4 linked regions of the Schizosaccharomyces pombe genome follow. Changing the gene in region 1 together with any one later gene gives a genetic interaction. Each region holds a gene or a part of one and is shown on either strand. Other genes may lie near its edges. The genes, in order: pat1, sec26, rcd1 and cgs1.

What was found.
Region 2: of pat1 (region 1) and sec26, changing one suppresses a phenotype caused by changing the other (phenotypic suppression), as found in Schizosaccharomyces pombe (one study listed by BioGRID).
Region 3: of pat1 (region 1) and rcd1, a mutation in one rescues a mutant of the other (synthetic rescue), as found in Schizosaccharomyces pombe (one study listed by BioGRID).
Region 4: of pat1 (region 1) and cgs1, changing one suppresses a phenotype caused by changing the other (phenotypic suppression), as found in Schizosaccharomyces pombe (one study listed by BioGRID).

What each region holds. Positions count from the first base shown.
Region 1 is NC_003423.3:1,681,112-1,686,251, forward strand, and holds pat1 (serine/threonine protein kinase Ran1/Pat1), read left to right. Parts: upstream 1-1,749; coding exon 1,750-3,162; 3' UTR 3,163-3,444; downstream 3,445-5,140. UniProt on the Schizosaccharomyces pombe protein: This protein is a negative regulator of both sexual conjugation and meiosis. It phosphorylates mei2. It blocks the onset of meiosis until conjugation takes place.
Region 2 is NC_003423.3:1,027,653-1,034,239, reverse strand, and holds sec26 (coatomer beta subunit Sec26), read left to right. Parts: upstream 1-2,301; coding exon 2,302-5,124; 3' UTR 5,125-5,362; downstream 5,363-6,587. Other genes in the region: myosin I myo1, read left to right, coding at 6,310-6,312, 6,357-6,587. UniProt on the Schizosaccharomyces pombe protein: The coatomer is a cytosolic protein complex that binds to dilysine motifs and reversibly associates with Golgi non-clathrin-coated vesicles, which further mediate biosynthetic protein transport from the ER, via the Golgi up to the trans Golgi network.
Region 3 is NC_003424.3:5,416,866-5,420,760, forward strand, and holds rcd1 (CCR4-NOT complex subunit Rcd1), read right to left. Parts: upstream 2,309-3,895; 5' UTR 1,947-2,308; coding exon 1,095-1,946; 3' UTR 501-1,094; downstream 1-500. Other genes in the region: mtq1 (S-adenosylmethionine-dependent methyltransferase), read right to left, coding at 1-415; multidomain vesicle coat component Sec16, read left to right, coding at 3,132-3,895. UniProt on the Schizosaccharomyces pombe protein: A differentiation-controlling factor that is essential for the onset of sexual development. Induces ste11 when sexual development is invoked through nitrogen starvation.
Region 4 is NC_003424.3:3,641,079-3,647,332, forward strand, and holds cgs1 (cAMP-dependent protein kinase regulatory subunit Cgs1), read left to right. Parts: upstream 1-1,950; 5' UTR 1,951-2,160; coding exon 2,161-2,290; exon of another isoform or gene 2,291-2,555; coding exon 2,556-3,664; 3' UTR 3,665-4,558; downstream 4,559-6,254. Other genes in the region: DNA-binding forkhead transcription factor for ribosomal proteins Fhl1, read left to right, coding at 1-1,141; SPOM_SPAC1142.09 (uncharacterized protein), read left to right, coding at 1,420-1,767; SPOM_SPAC8C9.04 (uncharacterized protein), read left to right, coding at 5,197-6,254.

The sequences.
Region 1 (5,140 bases):
CTTGGCAAGCTAGAAAAGCGTTCTTGCTTGCTGGATCCTGTGGGTGATTAACCACAATTCCAGAATTTCGATTTCAGCTTTCATATCCCCTGGTCATTAACGCGATTACTCTTACTCAGGTTGTTCGGCTGTCTACTGTGTTAAAGCAATAAAGAAAACACTACTTTTATCTGATTAGAAATCGAACCAAAATTAAAAAATTTATCTTTTATTCATTCTACACAAGTTTGGATTGTATTCTTATTTTTTTTATTTTATTTTTTTTTTAATTAAAAACTTCGAAATTCTATAAACAAACGTTGAATTGTCGAATTTGGATTTTATTTTTTCTTTAACCACCATTTTTTATTCTTACTAATATCCTCCCTTCCACCATCCTCGTTTTCTTTTACATTTGTTTTCCCTTCTTCCTCTTGGATTCTTATCATCTCCCGTGTCTAAAAGTTTCCATCTTACTCGTTTTTCTAACAAAGAAATCACTATTTCTCATCGCGACGAGCATTAGTCATATTTGAGTCGCGTTTCCTTTTCCTCTTTTTTAATTTATTATTTTTTTTTTGTTTTATTTATTTATTCTTTTTCACTTTCGTCTTTGGTTCTTGTTCGCGTCTGCTTTTCCTTTCTTTGTTCTTTCCCCTAGCCTCTTCGATTAGAGATAGATACTTCTTTCCATATCCAAACTTACTACTTCTCTGCTTTTCCCCAATGTAAATGGGAATTACCCTGAACGATTTCTTGTAAATTCCTTTGTGCTTGATGAAAATACTTTTCAAGAATTCTCTTCTCTCGGCTTTTCTTAATTACTCGATTTTTTCATTTTACATTCACAAATCCATATTGCTGTGCATACTTATTGACATTAGGTGAACTCATCTCTTTTTTCCCCAGTCCAACTCTTCCACCTAAGTCTATTGACTTACTCGCAAGCGTTGATTGTCGATTGTGTTTCCTTCTCATCCCCTCTCTTCTTTTTAAACCGAACATTCTATTCTCATTTTTACCTCAATTTGGAAAGGATATACTACTAGGTAAAAATTAATTCTACTTTTCTCCCCCATCTTTAACCGACTACTGACCTGTACATTTTCCCGATTTCTCTTACTGTTCCTTTGGAAAATCGTTGTGTGTCTTGTTTGTACGTTGATCTTTAGAGTTTCCTTTGATTATCTTGAGCATTCTTACTTTTTATTCCCTGCTTAAAATACTAATCATCATTTTTCCCGGTTTTTTATTCACATTCCCTTCTCACTTCCATTCGTTGTACTCAAAAGGACCTGTGCTTTTTAATCATAAACATTATATATTATTCGTTTTAACTCTTCCTTCCACAATTGCATTTCCCCTTTTCTTTATTAATTTTGTTTCTTGCATGTTGGTCGTTTTCTCTGTGATTGGCGTATTCGATTCTCTTTTTCATTCTTCGTTGTCGTATTTTTTACCTGCTTACAATTGAAAAAAAAATTTTTTTCTTGTAAATTCCCTTATATTATTAAACCTCAAACGATCAAGATAAAACCTATCATTGTGTTATTGACTATTTTCCTGTTTATAACGATCTTTGTTTTTTTTATCATTGATTTTAGAAGACATTAGAAAATCTAACCTTTCTCAAAGTTTTTTTTTTGTTTCGGTTGCAAAGTTCTTTAAGCTATTCAAAACTTTATCATCCGAAATACTTATTTTCTATTTTCTTATCTAATTTTCGCCATCAATTGGGACTTTATTTAATTTATCTTTACTAAACATTAGATGATGCGCGAAAATCCAGAACTCCTTTTGGGTCAGGTCTTGGGTGATTCTTTACGATTTGTTTCTATCATCGGTGCCGGTGCTTATGGTGTCGTGTACAAAGCAGAAGACATTTACGACGGTACCTTGTATGCAGTAAAGGCTTTATGTAAGGATGGCTTAAATGAAAAGCAGAAGAAGTTACAAGCTCGCGAACTTGCCTTACATGCTCGTGTTTCTTCACATCCTTATATTATTACATTGCACCGCGTGTTAGAAACGGAAGACGCCATTTATGTCGTTCTCCAGTATTGTCCGAATGGCGACCTTTTTACTTACATCACGGAGAAAAAGGTATATCAAGGGAATAGTCATTTAATTAAAACCGTTTTTTTACAGCTTATTTCTGCTGTTGAACATTGTCACTCAGTTGGCATATATCATCGAGATCTTAAACCCGAAAACATTATGGTTGGAAATGATGTAAACACCGTATACTTAGCTGATTTTGGTCTGGCTACTACAGAACCCTATTCAAGTGACTTTGGATGTGGTAGTCTGTTTTACATGTCTCCAGAATGTCAACGGGAGGTGAAAAAACTTAGTTCGCTGTCAGATATGCTACCGGTAACTCCTGAACCTATAGAATCACAATCATCCAGCTTTGCTACAGCGCCAAATGACGTCTGGGCTCTGGGAATTATATTAATTAATCTGTGTTGTAAGAGGAACCCTTGGAAGCGTGCATGTTCTCAAACTGATGGTACTTACCGTTCCTACGTTCACAATCCATCAACCCTTTTATCCATTTTACCCATCAGTAGAGAGCTCAATTCTCTACTCAATCGAATTTTTGATAGGAATCCCAAAACCCGAATCACATTACCCGAACTTTCCACGCTAGTATCAAACTGTAAGAACCTTACACGACGTTTACGACCTGCTCCCCTTGTTTCATCTCGTTATCTCGCATACCAACAACAACAACAACAGCAACAAATGAATTTGCAACAAGGAATTCAAGGTTACCCTCATCAAGGCTATATGCCGACTCAAAACATTGGCTTTCCCTGGCCTCCGACTCCCCAGTTTGTAAGTAATTGGAATCATTGTGCTACTCCAACGATCCCTGTCTCCTTACAAGTCCTTACACCAAATTCTTCACTTAAAGTAGATCCGACTACACCTCTTACAGCACCTATTCATGCAACCGAATCATTCTGGCCTTCTGCCGCAGCGGCGGCAGCAGCTGTCCATAACAATGCTAACTCATATATGCCTATTACACCCACACCCTATCCGAATAATGCAAAAATTTTCGGTTATCCTAATCAACCTCCGCTGACTCCCATACCTTTTACTGGATTCGTTTTGCATCCTGCACCAGTTGGTCGTGCTGCTGATGCCGTAGATCCATCTCGAAAATCGCTCTAAAGTTACTTGCTTCTTTTTTATATTCGCTACCGCACGTTGTTTTGTTCAGGGTTACTGCAAAACATTATAGAGGGCTTTGACTGCCCCAATAATTATTTCTCGGGATTTGAATTTTAACATTGTGTAAATAGCTAACATTTTATGCACTTGTTTTATACTTATATTTCTTCTTTTTTATATGTTTATTATGATGGTAGCATTATCTTTTTCTGTTAACAACATTGATGAATTTTTTTTGCTTGTGGTTTGTTCTTTAAAACAAAAATTTTTTTATAAATATATACTTAAAAAAAAAAAAAAGAAAAGGTAGACGAATGGATCGTTTTAACGACGGTTGTAATAGTAAATTTAAAGAGTTTAGAGCATGAAGCATGCAGTCATATTGTATCACCGCTATACTCGAAATGTTGAAGAGATAAAGCAAACTAAGCTTTTGGAATACGAAGATAGAAGGATATTATTCATAACTTGTAATAATATTGTTAAAAGTTAAAATATTAAATTAAATTTATAGATATCTTCTTGTAAATTCTAATATTACAATATTTTTACTGATATTTTTAAGCAATTATTATATCAAATATCGTTGTGTATATAGAATATTTTTTGGACAATATTTTCAAAAATAAAGATATTGTTAAGTTAAGTAAAGATATATTTTAGTAAAGGATGATAGAGAAAGAAATTAGAAAACTAGGTTTGAAGATGCAATTAAATTATAGCAATAATACAATTATAAGTTTCCTGTAAGGGGACAAATTTTACTAAACTTTGTTATTTATTATCTTTACACGAATTTCCACTGAATGTAAAGTGTATGTAGTAAACATTGTAACAAAATTCATAAATTTATATGTATATAGTTTTTTACTTTAGGTTGCATTAATAGATGATACAGTTTTTCTGTTTTAGATAACGCTATATTTTAAAAAACCAATGCTTCTAAAATTCGTTAAGCTTAGATAGGCATAGGAAAGTTGAACTAGGTCGAGAATTTTATTAGGCTGTACACAGAGGTTATCTGTGTGTTTTGTTAATAGAGTTTAACCGTTTTGGAAGCTAATTTACAAATACCGTAATGATTCTTGCAGTACACAAAAATGGCGTTTTTTTGATAGTATAAAATTTTTGGCAGTGTTTTTTACTCTAATAGGGCGTGAAGGTGCGAGTAAACAAAGAAGTGGAAAGGAAGGTCGGGACTGTAACTCACGCGAAAGAGTTGTTCTAGTAGATGGAATAGGAAGAGTTACGCTACTTTGCCACGCCAGGGGAGAAAAAGTAAATTTGGAAAGGAATAGGGAACCTTTTTCTCATAGCTTTTTGGGGTATTGTACGGAATGCATCATTACCATCATCCGTACACCACAGGAAGAGTAGCGATGGCAGGTGGCATGTTCCGGTAAGTTATGTTTGGGCGAAACCGAATGCGAGACCTTTTAGGCGAGATGAAGATGGTGAGATGGTGAAACAAAAAGGTTAATTTGCAGGGAGAAAAAAAGGTTAGACGGAGGGCTGGAAGAGGGATGTCAGCTTGAGTGAAGAGCTAACAAGAGCGGAAAAGAATAGAGAGGCAAAGGAAGAACACTATGGTTTTGTTTAGGGAATAAGAATATGAAGTTGTAGTGCATATATAGTAAAGGAATGGAAAGGAATGAGAAAGATAGAGTGGATAGATGAATGATGAATGGATGAATAGGTGAATGAAGTGGAATATGTATTTCTATAAAGAATGCTAGGAGTAAAGGAATGAAATAGAAAGGATTGGGTAAGAAAAAGTGTGTGTATGTATGAGTGTATTAGTGAATGAGATTCTGTGCAAACGAAAAAGTAGGATAATAAACTTAATGGATGGAAAATCAATTACACAAACTATGCTGTCTACTTAAAAAAATAAATAAATAAATAAAACCTACAACTCGACAAACCATGCTATCAAATATAAAAAGTCTACAGGCTGTACCACATAATGTGTTTATAT
Region 2 (6,587 bases), 650 kb from region 1:
TGTTTGCAATCGAAGTTTGTTTTTAAACAAATACTCCTCTATTCAATAAATCTAACTTTGTAATAAGTTACCTGCAAATAAGCCATTTTTCTTTTATTTTACAGATAAAGCCCATTTTCATTATCTGTATCACGTACTCCCAGTGTGAAGTTACTTAGGTTACCTTGTTTCTTAATCCATCAAAAACTCTTTTCTTTGTCCTTAGCATTCTTTGTTTAAAGTTGTATATAAGGGGAACTTGAGAGATTTGAATTTACTTACAACACATATATTAAATATTGCTTTCAACACACGTTTGTACTTTTATTTTCCAAGATTTCCCTTTCTGAGAAATATTTGTCAATTAGTAAACATATAAGGCAGGCTACAAAAGATATCATTTGTATAGTTATAGTGAATTGAAATTTTATCGTTAAAAAGAATACTGCGGTTTATTGCAACTGGTTTTGTATAAATAATAAGGATGATGTCGAACGAGAATTTTGATAATGACTACAATCTGCCACCACCAAATGATTCTGCGGAAGATTTAAAAATTTTCATTGAAAGATACGAGAGATCTGTAGATTCTACATTGTTAGAAATTGACGAAAACAAAAGAGAAGCACTTGAAAAAAATATATTGAGGAATGAGATCGTAAAATGAAATATGAAATTGAATGCAATGAAAGGCTACAAGGATGGAAAAAGTTAGCGATTGAAAGGGAAATTTCTGAAGAACAATCGGGAGAAGTACAATTTCCACGCTGGATAGATGAATGGGCAAACACTAAACTAGGTGGAATTTTCGAACGAATATTTTCTAAAATGGACTCAATGCAAAATGACATGAATTCTCGGTTTGACGCTATGCAGAATGAGATGACATCTATGAAAGGCGAAATGGCCGAAATGAAAGTTGAAATGGTTGAAATGAAAAGGGAAACGATCCGTTTGAACACTAGAATTGATTTACTCGAACAAAAAACTGAAGCAAGGTTTCAGTCAATAGAGCAGCGATTTAATTCTATTGACCAACGATTTGACTCTATGGAGCAGCGACTTGACTCAATGGATCAGAAAATGGAAACAATTGATGCTCGCTCATGTAGGTCGATCATGTTGACAAGAAAGCTTGAAAATGCAACTCGTTCAGACCAAGGTTATTTGGCGTCACCAGTACCATTTCTGAATGGTAATGAGCCGGTTAGTAGTGGATTACCGCCGATAGAAAGAGTCGAAGACATTGACGAATTGTCAAAGGAACAGTGTGTCCAATATCTTAAGGGATACGGTATAACGTTTAGTCCTGCTGAGACTATTAAGTTGAAAAAGCGACTTCGTGATACAGTAGGCTTATGGTCAAAAGCGAGTACTGAATATGAATTTCATCAGTTCCATTGAATTTATGTTTTTATTCAAATATCTTGCTTTCTTATTCGCTTTTTATTGATACTTTGATATTTTATTGTATGTTTTCTCTTTGATGTTTTATGATTCGGTGTTAAACGTTTTTTAATGAAATTGATGCTTTATATAATTAGATGTCAATTGATACCTTCTATCCTAAAGCTTCTAAAGTGAAAGACGTATATTTGCAATATCTAGAAGGGTAGTTCACTTCACCAGTGAAAACTTCAACTGCCATATAAAATTGACCCTATAACAAATTAATCACCTTCTTTTATTGTAAAGCGCCATACGCTAGTATGAGTTGCAACTGATGATAAACTTTAAGTCACTAGTAAAAATACACGATTCCTATAAAAGATACACATCAAGTATACTTAAAGTACTTTTTTTAAGATTTTGCGGACGCAAAAATATAGATCGAATCAAATGTCTGTTCACTTATATATTTCTTGGGCGTCTTCATATTAATGTGCCCTAATATGCTGTATAAATTTTCTCCCTCATTTGGTCCTTTTAATTTAATAGAAACTGTTTTATCCTTACAAATATTATAGTAAGTGCTTGTCTGTTTCCTCTGGTTTTGCAATCATTTCTGCAACTAACAGTGCTTTTTAATGCAGTACACTAAAAGTACAGCGATGTGTTAATAGAAGTATCTGTGCAAGTTGAAACATACAGTATACAAATTATTGTATGTGTAGGCACTGAGATATATGATTTTCGATTTCATTCAAAATAAGAATTTGAAAGAATAAATTAGTTTTTTATTAGTTTATCTATATATATAATTTTTGCAGCTGATAAAATTTATGTTTACCACCCCTCTAAGCTTTCTACCTTGGCTATACAACACCTGCTTTCAACAAACATCAGGTTGGTTTTGCCGTCACCATACCTTAAGCAGCAAATATGTCTTGTTGGACACTTGTTCAACAGGATTTTTTAGAAGCTCCATCTGTTGATGCTCTAAAAACCTCGTTAGAGTCCAAAAATGATTATGTCAAGATATCTGCCATGAAGACAATCCTGCGGGTCGTAATTAACGGGGATTCTCTTCCTTCCATTTTAATGCACGTGATTCGATTTGTAATGCCTTCCAGAAATAAAGAACTGAAAAAGCTTTTGTACTATTACTGGGAAGTTTGTCCTAAGTATAACAACGATGGCACTATGAAACAAGAAATGATCTTAGCTTGTAACTCATTTCGCAATGACTTGCAACATCCTAATGAGTTCATTCGGGGAGCTACTTTACGATTTCTTTGTAAATTGAAAGAGCCAGAGCTTTTGGATCCCTTAATCCCAACCGTCCGCCAATGCTTAGAACATCGTCATGCCTATGTCCGTAAAAATGCTATTCTTGCCGTCTTTAGCATATATCAAGTCTCTAATCATCTCATTCCTGACGCTGCCAGTTTAGCCGAGGACTTCCTTGCAGCTGAGTCTGAGGGAACTTGCAAACGAAATGCTTTAATAGTTTTGTTTACTATCGATCCCGAAAAAGCTAAAGCTTGGCTTTTGGCAAATTTTGAGCAAATTCCCTCTCTGAACGCTTCTTCCCTTCTCGTTATCATTGAATTTATTCGTAAAGTCGTTTTAACGAAAGCTGATGGTCTCGAAAAACTTAGATTCCAATCTCTTTTGGTATCCTTGACTGCCACAAACAATAGTAGTGTAGTTTTCGAGGCAGCTACTTCAGTTATTAATGTATTTCCCGATGCGGAGTCTCTGAAGCTCGCTGCGTCTCGTCTATTAGCACTAGCAGATCGCGAAGCCGACAATAACGCCAAGTTAATTATGCTGGATCGTATTTCTCAATTGGCGGCCCGTGATAAATCAATCTTAGAAGACCTCATAACAGATGTGATTCCATTCCTTTCTAGTTCAGATTTTGATGTCTGTGAGAAAGCTATCTCAATCATTATGGGCTTAGTTTCTAGCAGAAACGTTGAAGACATACTTAACCATTTTCAAAAGGAACTTACTAAATCGAATGGAGAAACTGAAAAGGATGATGGTCGCCGTCGTGCTCTTACGAAGGCTATTCATTCTTGTGCTATTAACTTCCCTCACACTGCTGCTACTGCTATCCAATACTTACTCAGCCATATATCGGACTTTCAAAGCAAATCCGCTTCTAGTGTTTTATCATTTATTAAAGAGGTCATGGAAAAATTCCCGGATCTCCGATCATCAAATATTACTAAGCTCCTGCTCTCTTTGAAAGAGCTTCGTGCTGGTAAAATTTTCCGTGGTGTAATATGGATTGCTGGCGAGTACTGTCTAACTGAGGACGATATACGCGTTGCGTGGAAGAGTATTAGAGCAAGCCTTGGAGAAGTTCCAATTTTGGCGTCAGAGGAGCAACTTTTAAAAGACGTTTCCAATGTACCTGAGGACGATTTGCTTATTGATATATCTGCTCCGGCTTCAACAAGTCGAAAGGTCCTTCCTGATGGAACCTACGCTACCGAGAGTGCAGTCACTAGTGAAGCTTTAAGTGCTGCTCGTTTGGAGGCTGTCAAAGCTTCAAAAAAGCCACCGTTGCGCACACAGATTTTGAGTGGTGATTACTATCTTGCTGCTGTTTTAGCTTCTGCTCTTACAAAGCTTGTGATGCGTTTTGCTCGACTTTCTTTCGACAAAGAACGATTGAACGCTCTCAAAGCTGAAGCATGTCTTATTATGACATCTATAATTCGAGTGGGTCAGTCCAAGTTTGTAAAATATACCATTGATGATGACTCTGTTGAGCGTATTATGAACTGTATCAGGGCCATATATTCCTTTGAAGAGCTTCCTGAATTCCAAACGGTGTTTCTTGATGATATGCGAAAAGCATTTTCATCACTTGTTGCTCAATCAGACAAGCGACAAAAGGAGGCAGATTTGTTAGTTAATGGAAGTGATGCTGTTCAAGCCGATGAGCTACTGAATATTCGCCAATTTCAAAGGGTCATTGAAGAAAAGCAGGATCTTAATTTTGAGTCCGACATCATACAAGCCACCAACGATGGTATGGTAGTGGAAGATTTGGCATCTAAATTAGATCATATCGTACAATTAGCCGGTTTTACAGATCCTGTTTACTGTGAGGCATATGTGAAGATACAACAATTTGATATTATTCTAGACATATTATTGGTTAATCGAACGGATACCACGTTACAGAATCTCTCTGTTGATTTGGCTACGTTGGGAGATCTTAAGGTTGTAGAGCGTCCACCACCCATGAATTTAGGACCTCATGCCTTTAAATCTGTTCAGGCTACGGTAAAGGTATCTTCAACGGAGTCTGCAGTAATCTTTGGAAATATCGTGTATGGTGGTAAAGCATCCGACGAAGACAAAATTGTTGTTTTGAATGGCATTCCAGTCAACATTATTGATTATATAAAACCCGCATTCATTCCCGAATCTCAATTCCGTAGCATGTGGACGGAATTTGAATGGGAAAACAAGGTCGATATTTCTTCCAACGAAGACATTAGTCTGTACGATTTCTTACATAAAATAATGAAGAAAACCAATATGAACTGTCTTACTCCAGACGCGTCTCTGCGTGGTGACTGTGGTTTTTTGAGTGCTAATTTGTACGCCTGCAGTATTTTTGGGGAAGACGCACTTATGAGTCTTAGCGTTGAAAAATCCGTCTCCGGTCCTATCTCAGGACATGTTCGCATTCGTTCAAAAACTCAAGGCATTGCCCTTAGCTTGGGTGCATTTGTTTAGAGTAGAATTATATAAGGAATGTTATCCACTCTTTAAATTTCTTGATGGATTAAATTCACAATGGGAAAGCTGTTATGGATGCTGATTTAGTAGGTATATCATGTGTCTAATATTTCGCTAAATCGATATCTGATACGCTGTTTTATTACTCTTGTTGTAAATACCTTTCCTGCCGTTCTTTATTTAGCTCCTTATGATATTTCTACGATTTCGCAATTAAAAGGAGCCTGCCTTGTCATGTTCTCACTACTTGATATCCTGACATTACTAAAGTTGTGTACCTTGTATTTCTCTGTAACAGGCAAGTAGATTAGCTTTCATCTCGTGCATTTAGTTTGGTATTATATATAAACCCCGTTATTTCAATTAATTATGGCACTCACAAACGTTGTCTATAAATCACTGTTTGTATTCTTTTATAAATGATATAAACAGATGATTATGTTTAAGTTACTGCAAATCATATAGCTTCTCTCATATTGTGTTACATCCTAATATCTGTAATAAGTTAATTGTCATAGAATATACTCAAGGTCAATACGAGAACTACAGTTGTATTTGCTGGGGAATTCAACCTTTTATGTCGCGTTATAATAATCTGCGGCTGCTTTGGTTCTTGAAACGGCGATAGCCGTTATATCTAAAATACTTCAAAACTTCTCGCTTTATGAAAGGTATCTTCGACTTAAAATATTCATAATTGAAAATTCATGTTCATTTAATTCATCTTATCGACTACATGAACACACAATAATCAAATCAAGTATTAACTAATTCAAGCGCGTTATGTTTATCACTTCATCATAATTAGTCGCAAATTTCATACCTTTAGTGTGTTCGTTACCTTACCTAATGAAGTTACCCTAAAACACATTTGGATAAGTTTCGTTCGAGTATGTTACATAACAAGCCTCTTTCGGCTAGGTAATTGTTTTAATGTCAATACCAAAAATGGATGAAGCAAACGACAGAAAGCTAAAGTATATTCAATTTTCAGCTAAAGTACAATTTTAATAATTGGGGTCTGAAGTTTCGAACGGTCTTTGGCAATATTGACCTAGAAACTCATATTTCGCTCATTTTAACGATCCGTAACGCAATTATCTCAGTATTAGAAGAAACCTACACGTAAGTGCGGACTTGTCGTTAACCTATCTCTTGTTCGGCCATAAGTGAATAGATTTTATGGTAAGTAAATATGCATGCCGAATGTTAGCTAATTAATAAATTAGGCCATCCTTAAGAGAACAAACCGCGCGAAAGCTGCGACTGCAGCTGCTCCCAATAGCACTGGGAAAAGCAATGGTATTAAAAAGGCTGTTTATACCAGCACACGCAAAAAGACTGTGGGTGTTGATGATTTAACCCTACTTTCGAAAATTACAGATGAGGAAATTAACAAAAACTTGGAACTGAGATTTCGCAATGGAGAGATTTATACATATATTGGACATGTGTTGATT
Region 3 (3,895 bases), on another chromosome or scaffold:
TTAGGTTTGCCAACACAAAGCTTGATATGCAGCCAGACCCTGTACATAAATCGAGAATCTTTAACGGTTTTAATCTCTCGAGTCGATTTAGCTTATCAACCACACGTTCAACCCATTCTTCTGTTTCCCAACGAGGTATTAAAACTCCTTGTTGACAATCTATCTTGATATTACCAAAAGGTTGACTTTTCAGTATATACTGAAGTGGATAGTTTCTTGCTCGAAGTTGACAGGCATTTACTATCTTTTTTCGCAACCCATGTTTGCTAATTTCTGGATACAGCAGCTTTAATTCCTTGCATATCCACGTCCACTCTCTTTTAGCCAAAGATGGATCTCTTGTGGCATGATAAAGAGGGAGTAGGCAAGGGTTTTCTCGATATAAAGCAAATTTAGTAATTCTTGGTAGTCGCATATGACAAACACTATAATTAGGAGGACAAATTATCTCAAATTACTTTTATCTGATTATTTGCTTGAATGAAGTATAGCAGAATTAACGAACGTAAATATAAATCAAATTCTGTTGTCTATTGTACGAATTCTTTAAATTTATTAGAGGTAATCGATGAAACTGAATTGAATATTGTAGAAATAGTATAAGTATATATGATACGAAATAGGAAAAAAGGTGTTTTGGTTAAAAACATTAAATGCGTCGGCGAATGTTATATCTTTTTCTATTTTTTTTTTTAAATTTTGCTGACTCGTAAAAATCATCATTCGTGACGCATTTTAAGGAAAGATTAAGAGAAAAGGATATGAAATCCTGAATCTAACAATTGTAAGCAAAATTAACAGTAAACCCCTGATTTCCTTAAAAAAGCCATCAGAGTAAGTTCTGTCCTGAGGAATAACTTGAGCACATTAAGAGGAGTGAAAAATGACAGGGCAAAAATAATAATAAAGGAAGATATAAGAAAGACACAAGAAAAAATTGGTGACGGACGAATAACACAAAAAATCGCCATATGCCAATCACTTACGGTCACAAATTATGATTGAAAGTAAACCAGATAGGAAACGAAGGGCAGATATTGAAATAATTAATTCAACATTTAAGAAAAGTTTTTTAAAAAAAAAAAAAATAACGATTACTGATTAACAACGGCGACGTCTGATAAGTTGATTAACAATTGGGCAAGACATTTTTTAGTGTTGTGATCATCCTTTAAAACCTGAGCAAAGGTAGCATCACGTAAAGGTTCTGGTAGACAGTGTCTTAGAGCTTCTCTGGCGCGAGGATTGTCACTAAGACGAAGATAGCAACGAATAACATGCTTTAGTAAACGAAAAGCAAAAGAGTCTACAAGCTGCATTACCATGTTGTTCAAAACCGACGCAACTGCATAAAAGCGTTCATATGTTTGACAAATATATTGAAGACCAACGTCGTCACATAAAAATTTTTGTACGATGAAAATCGCAACGGTTTTTGATAATTCAGAACCGTTCTCCATGATTCTGAGACAAAGAGGAATAATTTCTGTAGATAATAAAAAGTTGATTACTTCTGGAGAGTCATTTTTAACTAATGCACCAATCACCCCTAAACTAGTAAGGCGCAGGTATTCAAAAGGTTTGGATTTTGAAAGGGTATTCAAAAACGGGTATAGAAATAAAGTAATGTGTGCATTTAAAAAGTGGATTCTAGTTTCAGGATGAGAAGCGATACACTGGAGTAAAGCTAGCGCGTTGCACACTCTGTTACTAGTTGGTCCTGTAAGTGTGGGTGGATTTAAAAGAGGATAAACGCTGATAATTTCTTGCAACAAAGCCGTCATCACACCATATGAATGCCATAAAATAAGAGCCAAATCTTCATACTGTTCTCGTTTACGAGATAGTTCGACAAGAGCTTGTTCGCGAGATGTCCCAGAAACAAGTTGAATTATCCATTCATAGACAAGTGCTGGTTCATAATTAGGGGATTCCAAGTTTTCCATTTTTTCTAGAATGCGGGAAAGAAATAAAAATGCTATAGTTTATTGTCGAAAAGAATAAAATAAAGAATAATAATTTTATAGCTGCCGGAACTAAAGAGCAACACCTAACGAATTTGTAGTTCAATCCAAAGGATAGAATAATGCACTAAAAGGTAAAGAAAAGGTATTAACGTTAAACGACAGTCAGTAAAGTGCTGAGTGTCGAGAAAATGATAAAGCTTTTAAAATTTTAATGGAATTTCAGTCCTCGTGCTATGCGTGCCAAACAGTATCAACTTGCACAGCAATACTGGACTTAAATAATTTAAAATACAACAATCTTATAAACCTGAACTGCAAATGCTGTTCCGTAGATTTCGCGTGAGAGCAATGGACAAGCACAGTGTTGGCAGGGAATAGCAAACCTACCGCACTGCGCGTTAGAAAAATGCAAGATACATTACTGAGTAATAAGGAGAATCAAATATTTTTAAAGAAAAGTGGGCAAAACGCATTTAGAAAAGGTATTTAACCATTCTTAGCTCGCTTCTAATAGAAGCTATAAAATAACAGAGATATAAGAAAAGGAATTTACCTATGTTATATCTTTGAAAGCCTTTTTTAAAAGTTATTTCTAACGCTTTTGTAAATACTACTTTTCTAAAGATTTGTAAATACATATTCATACCGAATGCGTAACCGTTGATGTTTGCTAATTGCACATCATTTACACTTTCATCAAGAGTAATTTAGTATTCAAACATATAATAACTTGAGCCGTTTCTTCTTCAATAATTGCGTTAATGTTTGAATAGCTTTTTTGTTTACTATATTTACCCTTACGAAGAATTATGAACAACATTCACGAACAATTAATATAGCGTAGTATAAGGATGTATGCTATTCTGCTTCTGACTTTAATCTCTCGATACTGACTGGCGCCATCAACAAACTTCCTACCATTTTCTATATCCTTGTGGTTGATTGTTTTTTATTTGAACCTACCTATTATTATTTTCGATTACTGTTTGTGAAATTTTGGTTGACCATTTCTCATGGAAAGCTAGGGGCCAATTTTTTTCCTACAACTTTGAGCATTGTTTTATCCTCCATTTATTGGTATACTTTGCTGCCTATTTTTCGTTTAAAAAATAAGCTAAATTTTTCGTCTTAGTAATATAATATTGGGCACTAACGTATCAAGGAATGGATATTGAATCAGACCACGAGCCTAAGGAGTCTTCTGTTGATCTTGAAGGACGGCATGATTCTATACGCAAGTCTTTTGAAGCTGACGATATTGATGTGACAGATGAAAACACCATTTTTTCTACCTCTAGAAAAGAACAAAGCACAATTGAACCTATGGATTCCTTTGTTGAAAACAACATAGCCAATAGCTCCTCTCAACAGTCAGTTTCAGAAATTGACATTCAGTTGCCTTCCTCTGAGCCTAAAGAAGGTGTTAAAGAAGAAAGCAACTTAATAGAGAGTAATTCTTTGGACAATGTGCAGGAAATTAATCCTCAAAATACCATTGGCGACAAATCGGCTCACACAGAAGAGGAGTCTTCAAATGATAACTTGGTAAAAATTACTGCTGGAACCATTATTTCTGACATAATGGATGAGCCTGTTGTGGATGAAGACGATAAACTCTCTGAAGAAGACTTGAGCAAGGAAGACTTAGAAACGACTCTTAAGGGTGACGAAAACTATTCATCGTCGCAAAAAGAAATATATGATAATGATGAGACAATTCCTAAACCACCATCTCCAGAAGTCGAAAAGATAGAAACTAGTACTTCAGTTGAGAATGCATACATTACGAACTCTCAATATAATGACACTCTTGATATGGAAGATCAGACATCTGATTTAATTACAACTTTTGAGCATGAAAATGAAGACCATGAAGTCCACGAGGTTCCTTCCATTCACGGAATGGAAGGGACTTTTGAAACCGTAAA
Region 4 (6,254 bases), on another chromosome or scaffold:
TTGGATGCTTGACCCCTCTTACATAGATCAATTTGAGGGTAATTTCTTTAGAAGAACAAAAAAGCCCACCCCTTCTGCTACACCAGCTGCTCATCCTGATACTGCTAGGGAGAATGAATTAGCCGCTATCCAGACAAAGGGTATATCAGCTGGAAAAACCGAACAGCTTAATCCGCAAAAAGAAACTAGTCGTAGTAAAACTCATACTTCCCGAGGAGAAAATGTAGAGGATCGACCACAATCCTTACTTCAAAATGGCATTCAACCTATCATTATGCGCGATGGGAAACTTGCTTTGAACCCCGAGTTTTTCAAGAATGCAAATGGAGAGCAACAGGCTCCCAACGAGCAAGCCGTTCAAGCAATTTCACTACTCCAACAGCACATTAATAAGCAGCTAGGACCTGCCGCTGCCAACAACCCGGAGCAAGCCACAGCGATTGCGAATGCTCTCGCTGTGGCTTTAGCCCAAAAACTTCAAAAGCAGCAAACGCAAATGCAAGGGCCCCAACAAGTGCAACAACAGGCAAAGCGTCGTAAAGCTTATACTTCACAGCAACTTAATCCGGCGCCGACTGCAATGCCGCACCCTAACATAACATCACCGTCTCCTAGTATCTCAGTCACTCAACGTCCTGCAGTAAACGTTGGACCACCTCCATATGTTAGGCCATCTGCTCCTTCGAAGTTACCAGATACACGCCAGAGTATTGGAGACCCGTTACCCCCAGGAGCAATGGCTAATGTGTCCGCGGGGCCATCGTCAGTTCGATCATCGTCGTACAACTCCACTGCTTCTGAAAGCAAATCAGAGATAACAAGCCATCAAAATCTACACACCATACCAATAAACAAACCATTCACTTCTGATCGGCCTTTATACTCTTCGCCTAATGATACTTTAGAGAGAGTTGAAACAGGCAATCAAGGACAAAGGATGAATTCCATTGGAAATGCATCAAGCTTTAGTAAAAGAGATATAATGGAAAACGAAAATGGATCTTTTGATACTAATGCAAAGAACGGAAACAATGTTGACGACTCATCTTCAGTAAGGGGCATGAATTTACCATCAAACTCAAGCGACGCTTTACGAGGAGTAAAGCGACCGTTGGACGAGACATCATCCTCTTATACCTGAATTTACTAATGCTCATGCACGTAACGTTGTTGATGACTTCTTAATTAATACATTAGTGCCGAAAATTACACTTACCAGCATGCATAAGCTGTTTCATTTTTCTTTTTTTGACAGTGATTGCACAACTTGGTCTTTGGGTGGTTTCTACTTTTATTTCTCATGTGTTTAATGTTTACCTTAGTTAATACTTTACATAATAAATTGCCGTCTGGTTTTATTTCATTTAATAAGCATTTTCGTTTTCTTGTCGAAAAAGTTAATAGCAAAGCAGGAAGGGTATGGAGGATTCGCTTTTGTTATCTGTGAACATTAGCGATTCCTTATTTACGTTTTCATTGAAACCTTTGTTTAGCCAATACAGAAAGCATATTTACTTCAATGATTGTTTTTATAGCACTTTTAATAAGACCAAAACTATTATTGTTGTAATCCTGTCGGGCAAGCTCTCTGATCTGATAGACTTCAAAAGTTACATTGAATTTGTTTTGAAAACAAACAACTCATATTCAGCGATTCTAATTTCTTACTATAGATGTATATTTATCATATCACTTTTCCATAGACCGCTCACTATTCATTTCTTAACTAACTTAACTCACGGATGTACAAGAAGCTTCACAAAATAATATACCGAAACACTGGAAAACGCAAGCTATGTTGCATCGTCAAACATTCTACTCTCTATTTTTTTATGCGCTTCGATAAACCCCATATTATGGAGTCAGGGCATTGCGTAGTACATTTTATGACGTATGAGTGAGCTAATGCAGGCATCCATCCATTTTAGTCCAACGCCTCAGGTAGACTTTAAACATACATCTCAACCGTAACAAACGAAGGTAAATAACTGATTTGTATAGCTGAATTCAGCTCTTTTATTTTGGAAAATTTACCTCTTGTGGTTGATTAAAGTGTCAGGAAAAGCTGAAGCGAACAAAAACCGCGAGATTGTGATTCACTGAGAGTAAGAAACAAAAAACCGCATTTTTTGAAAGAAAGGCACGTAAACTTTAGGAGACATGTCTTTCGAAGAAGTATATGAGGAGCTAAAAGCCCTTGTTGATGAGCAAAATCCTTCAGATGTACTTCAATTTTGCTATGACTTTTTTGGAGAAAAGCTGAAAGCTGAGCGCTCAGTATTTCGTCGAGGTAAGTAGATGCTTCTGGATAGCTATGTTTAGTGGAGAGGAAAAGTAAATGATGGTCAATATGGGTTCTTTTTTGTGGTTTTTTACTTTGTTTTGCTCTATAGTAAGTATTTTCTAAATTTAGTCAGCAAACAGCAATTATGATTCCTGGCTGTTAATAATTCCACAAAGTTGTTTAAGGACCCTGTACCCATTTAATCTCCCACTCTATACTACACAAATTTTACCCTTTTTTGTTTTATCATGTTAACAAATTTCTCTTTTAGGCGACACCATTACAGAGTCTTTTAGCGACGGAGATGAAAGCGATTTCCTGTCTGAGCTCAACGATATGGTTGCTGGCCCCGAGGCAATTGGTCCGGATGCCAAATACGTTCCTGAATTGGGAGGATTAAAAGAAATGAACGTTTCATATCCGCAAAACTACAATCTGTTGCGTCGCCAATCTGTTTCCACTGAGTCGATGAATCCTAGTGCATTTGCACTAGAGACCAAACGAACCTTTCCTCCGAAGGATCCTGAAGATTTGAAAAGACTAAAGCGCTCAGTTGCTGGGAACTTTTTGTTTAAGAATTTGGATGAAGAACATTACAACGAGGTTCTGAACGCTATGACTGAAAAACGGATTGGAGAGGCTGGTGTTGCTGTCATTGTCCAAGGAGCAGTTGGAGATTACTTTTATATTGTGGAGCAAGGTGAATTCGATGTATACAAAAGGCCCGAACTAAATATTACCCCTGAAGAAGTGCTTTCGAGTGGTTATGGTAACTACATAACTACGATTTCTCCCGGTGAATATTTTGGAGAGTTGGCACTCATGTATAATGCTCCACGAGCTGCATCGGTGGTCTCCAAAACACCAAATAATGTAATTTACGCATTAGATCGTACAAGTTTCCGTCGTATCGTATTTGAAAACGCATATCGCCAGAGGATGCTGTATGAAAGCCTCCTTGAAGAAGTTCCCATTCTCTCAAGCCTTGACAAATATCAACGACAAAAAATTGCCGATGCTCTTCAGACAGTCGTGTATCAAGCCGGTAGCATCGTTATTCGACAAGGCGACATTGGTAACCAGTTTTATCTGATAGAGGATGGCGAGGCTGAAGTAGTGAAGAATGGCAAAGGCGTAGTCGTTACCCTAACCAAGGGAGATTACTTTGGTGAACTAGCTTTAATTCACGAAACAGTGAGAAATGCGACGGTACAGGCAAAAACTCGCCTGAAACTTGCTACATTTGATAAACCTACATTTAATAGACTACTTGGTAACGCGATCGATTTGATGCGTAATCAACCTCGTGCCAGGATGGGAATGGATAATGAGTATGGTGACCAATCTCTTCATAGGTCACCTCCATCAACTAAAGCATAAAATTTCTATAATCTGTTTTCTTTGAAACTATCTTTGTAATAATGACCTGTCATGATATGCTAAAGAATTTCCCTGTTGTTTGTTTGCCTTCTAACTTTTTCATATTGGTCATGCATGCATGTGATTGTTTACCATTATCCCTGGAATAATTTACTTATTCATGTTGAACATGTTTTGTTTGGATTACTTATCTAATTCAGCATTATATGTGATAATGTATATATACGTATTATTCTTTTTTATTTCTTTGAAAACCTTTATGTCTTGTTCTAGCATGGCACTGGATATGGTTTGTTAATGTTTTAATTCCAATTATATTCGTGATTACCACTTCACTGTTCTTATTTTGTTTTTTTTTTTCTTTTTGAAATTTCCTTTTTTTTTTATTATTTTTATCTGTCGAATATCGCAGCATTTGATGTTTGGAAGCTTACCGTTTAGTTTGTGTTTTTTTTTTCGTACGGATCATGACAGTTATTTTATCGTTCTCTTCATCCTGTTTTTTTTTGTTTTTTAATCGATATTTGATATCGTCAAATATTTCTATCTATATGGAGAGTTCTTATATTTGTTTTTTGAATAATCACACACTCTTCAAAACAGCAGCTGCATTCAATAATGTACTTGGCATTGGAGTAACGCACATTATACAAGAATTACCGTGGTCCGTAAACACTTGCAAGCATGAAATACTTAGAAAGCTTTAGGCAGACGCTAGACGTGGGGAAAGGGATGAAGTGTTAAAAATTCAAGAGTGTGGATGTTTTGTATGCAAACTGAGTGAGTTCTCGGTTTTTGTAGTTACGTGACATAACTTTAAAAATTTTATGAGAAATTGACTAATATCAAGAATTGAGAATAGTTTTTTAATACAATACACAAAATTTTTACCAAGTTTTGAGTAAAGGGGTGCAAATTAGATGAAACTACAGTCTGCGATAAACGATACGTGTAACTAGGAGAATGCAAATTGTGTAAAAAACTTATAAAACGAATATCTTGTTAGACAAATAAATTCAGCAAAAAGCGAAAGGACTTTTATTCAATTATCAAATCCGTACGAAATGGGATACAAAAAATTTTAAAGAATACTCAATTTCGTACATTCAATGTTCTTGCGAACATAATAAATAAAAAAACGACTACAGTTGCGAACTATGCGTAAGGTTTTCTTAAACAAGAAAAATTTTTTTCCCCATATTCCATACTACATATTTACTGTGAATGTTCTTAGTAGGGTAGGTTATTCACAACAAGCACAACGGGTAGAAATGACAATTACTGCAGAATAAAGTTAAGCACTCGAGATAAATTGTAATATTAAGAAGATGATCAGCGAAGCAATGTTTTGGTAAAGAAATGTTTTGTTTTGTGTCTTACTTTCGTCTGAATTAACTTTGTTTACATATGCATTTTTTCACTCACATAACAGGGTTTCGTATAAATTCTAGTTACGCCAAGATTTACAACTTCTACCAACCACCAAACAAGAACGCAGAGCGTGTAAAAGTAGAACAAAAATTGAGTTGAATATGACCACGAATCCCGATATTGTTAAACAGACGAAAAATGAAATTCACCAAGTAACGTCGAGAGTCCAGGAGAAGCTGGATTCGAAAAGTACCAACGCGGTCGAGCAGAATAACAATTCTTCCCAGGCGTCCGTCACCAAGGATAACAAGAAGAAGGCCGCTAAACGCGCCAAAAAGAAGGCTGCAAAAAAGAAGAAGCAGTCAGCAGCAGCATCTGCCTCTTCCACACCTGTGGAAGAAGCTCAGCACGCGCAAGAGGAACAACAAGAACAAACCATATTACAAGAGCCAGGATTTACACAAACTATAGTGGAGAAAGACGCTGATCAGGTTGACGAGCCTTTGGAACCCATAGCATCCTCAGCTCTGGGTACTGTAGAGCCGCCTACTGACAACAAACCCTCTGCCTCCACGTCAACAGCAGTGCCAACTACGGAAGCACGCAATACAAGTATTACCGAACCCGCCAATTCCCCTTCCTCCTCCTCCTCATCCGCTTCTACAAAGTCTACTGCAACCACACAATCCGCTGATTACGTCGTAGCCGAACATTTCGCACCCCAGCGCAATGACGAGCAACTCGGTAATTCCCCAGCTTCGATTACGTCTAAGCCAGCAACGACATCTGCTGCGCAACCTTCTTCGAAAGTAGAGGAAAACATGGCGAAAGCTACTTCACAACCCATTACTACCGCTGAGAAAGAAATTCCAGAATTGAAGCCCATTGAGCCTGAAGCTATTATGATATCGAAAGAAATAAATACTACGCATGATCAGGCAGCAGCTACGACAACAGCAGCAGTTGCCTCTGCCTCTACTACTGCCACTGCTGAGTCACATGCAGTGGCCGATGGAATTATGAATGATAACGTACTTGAAAGCATTGGTGAAAACGTTCAGCAAGAGACGGTTTTCGAGGATGCGAGCGACATTCCACATGCAGATGTCATCCCCCATACCACCACAGTAACGGTGGAAGAAGAATCGCCCATCGCCCTTGGCCAGGGAGGTGTGACGCATGAGGCAACAACCAGTGCTAGAGCTAGTGCTAGTGGCAT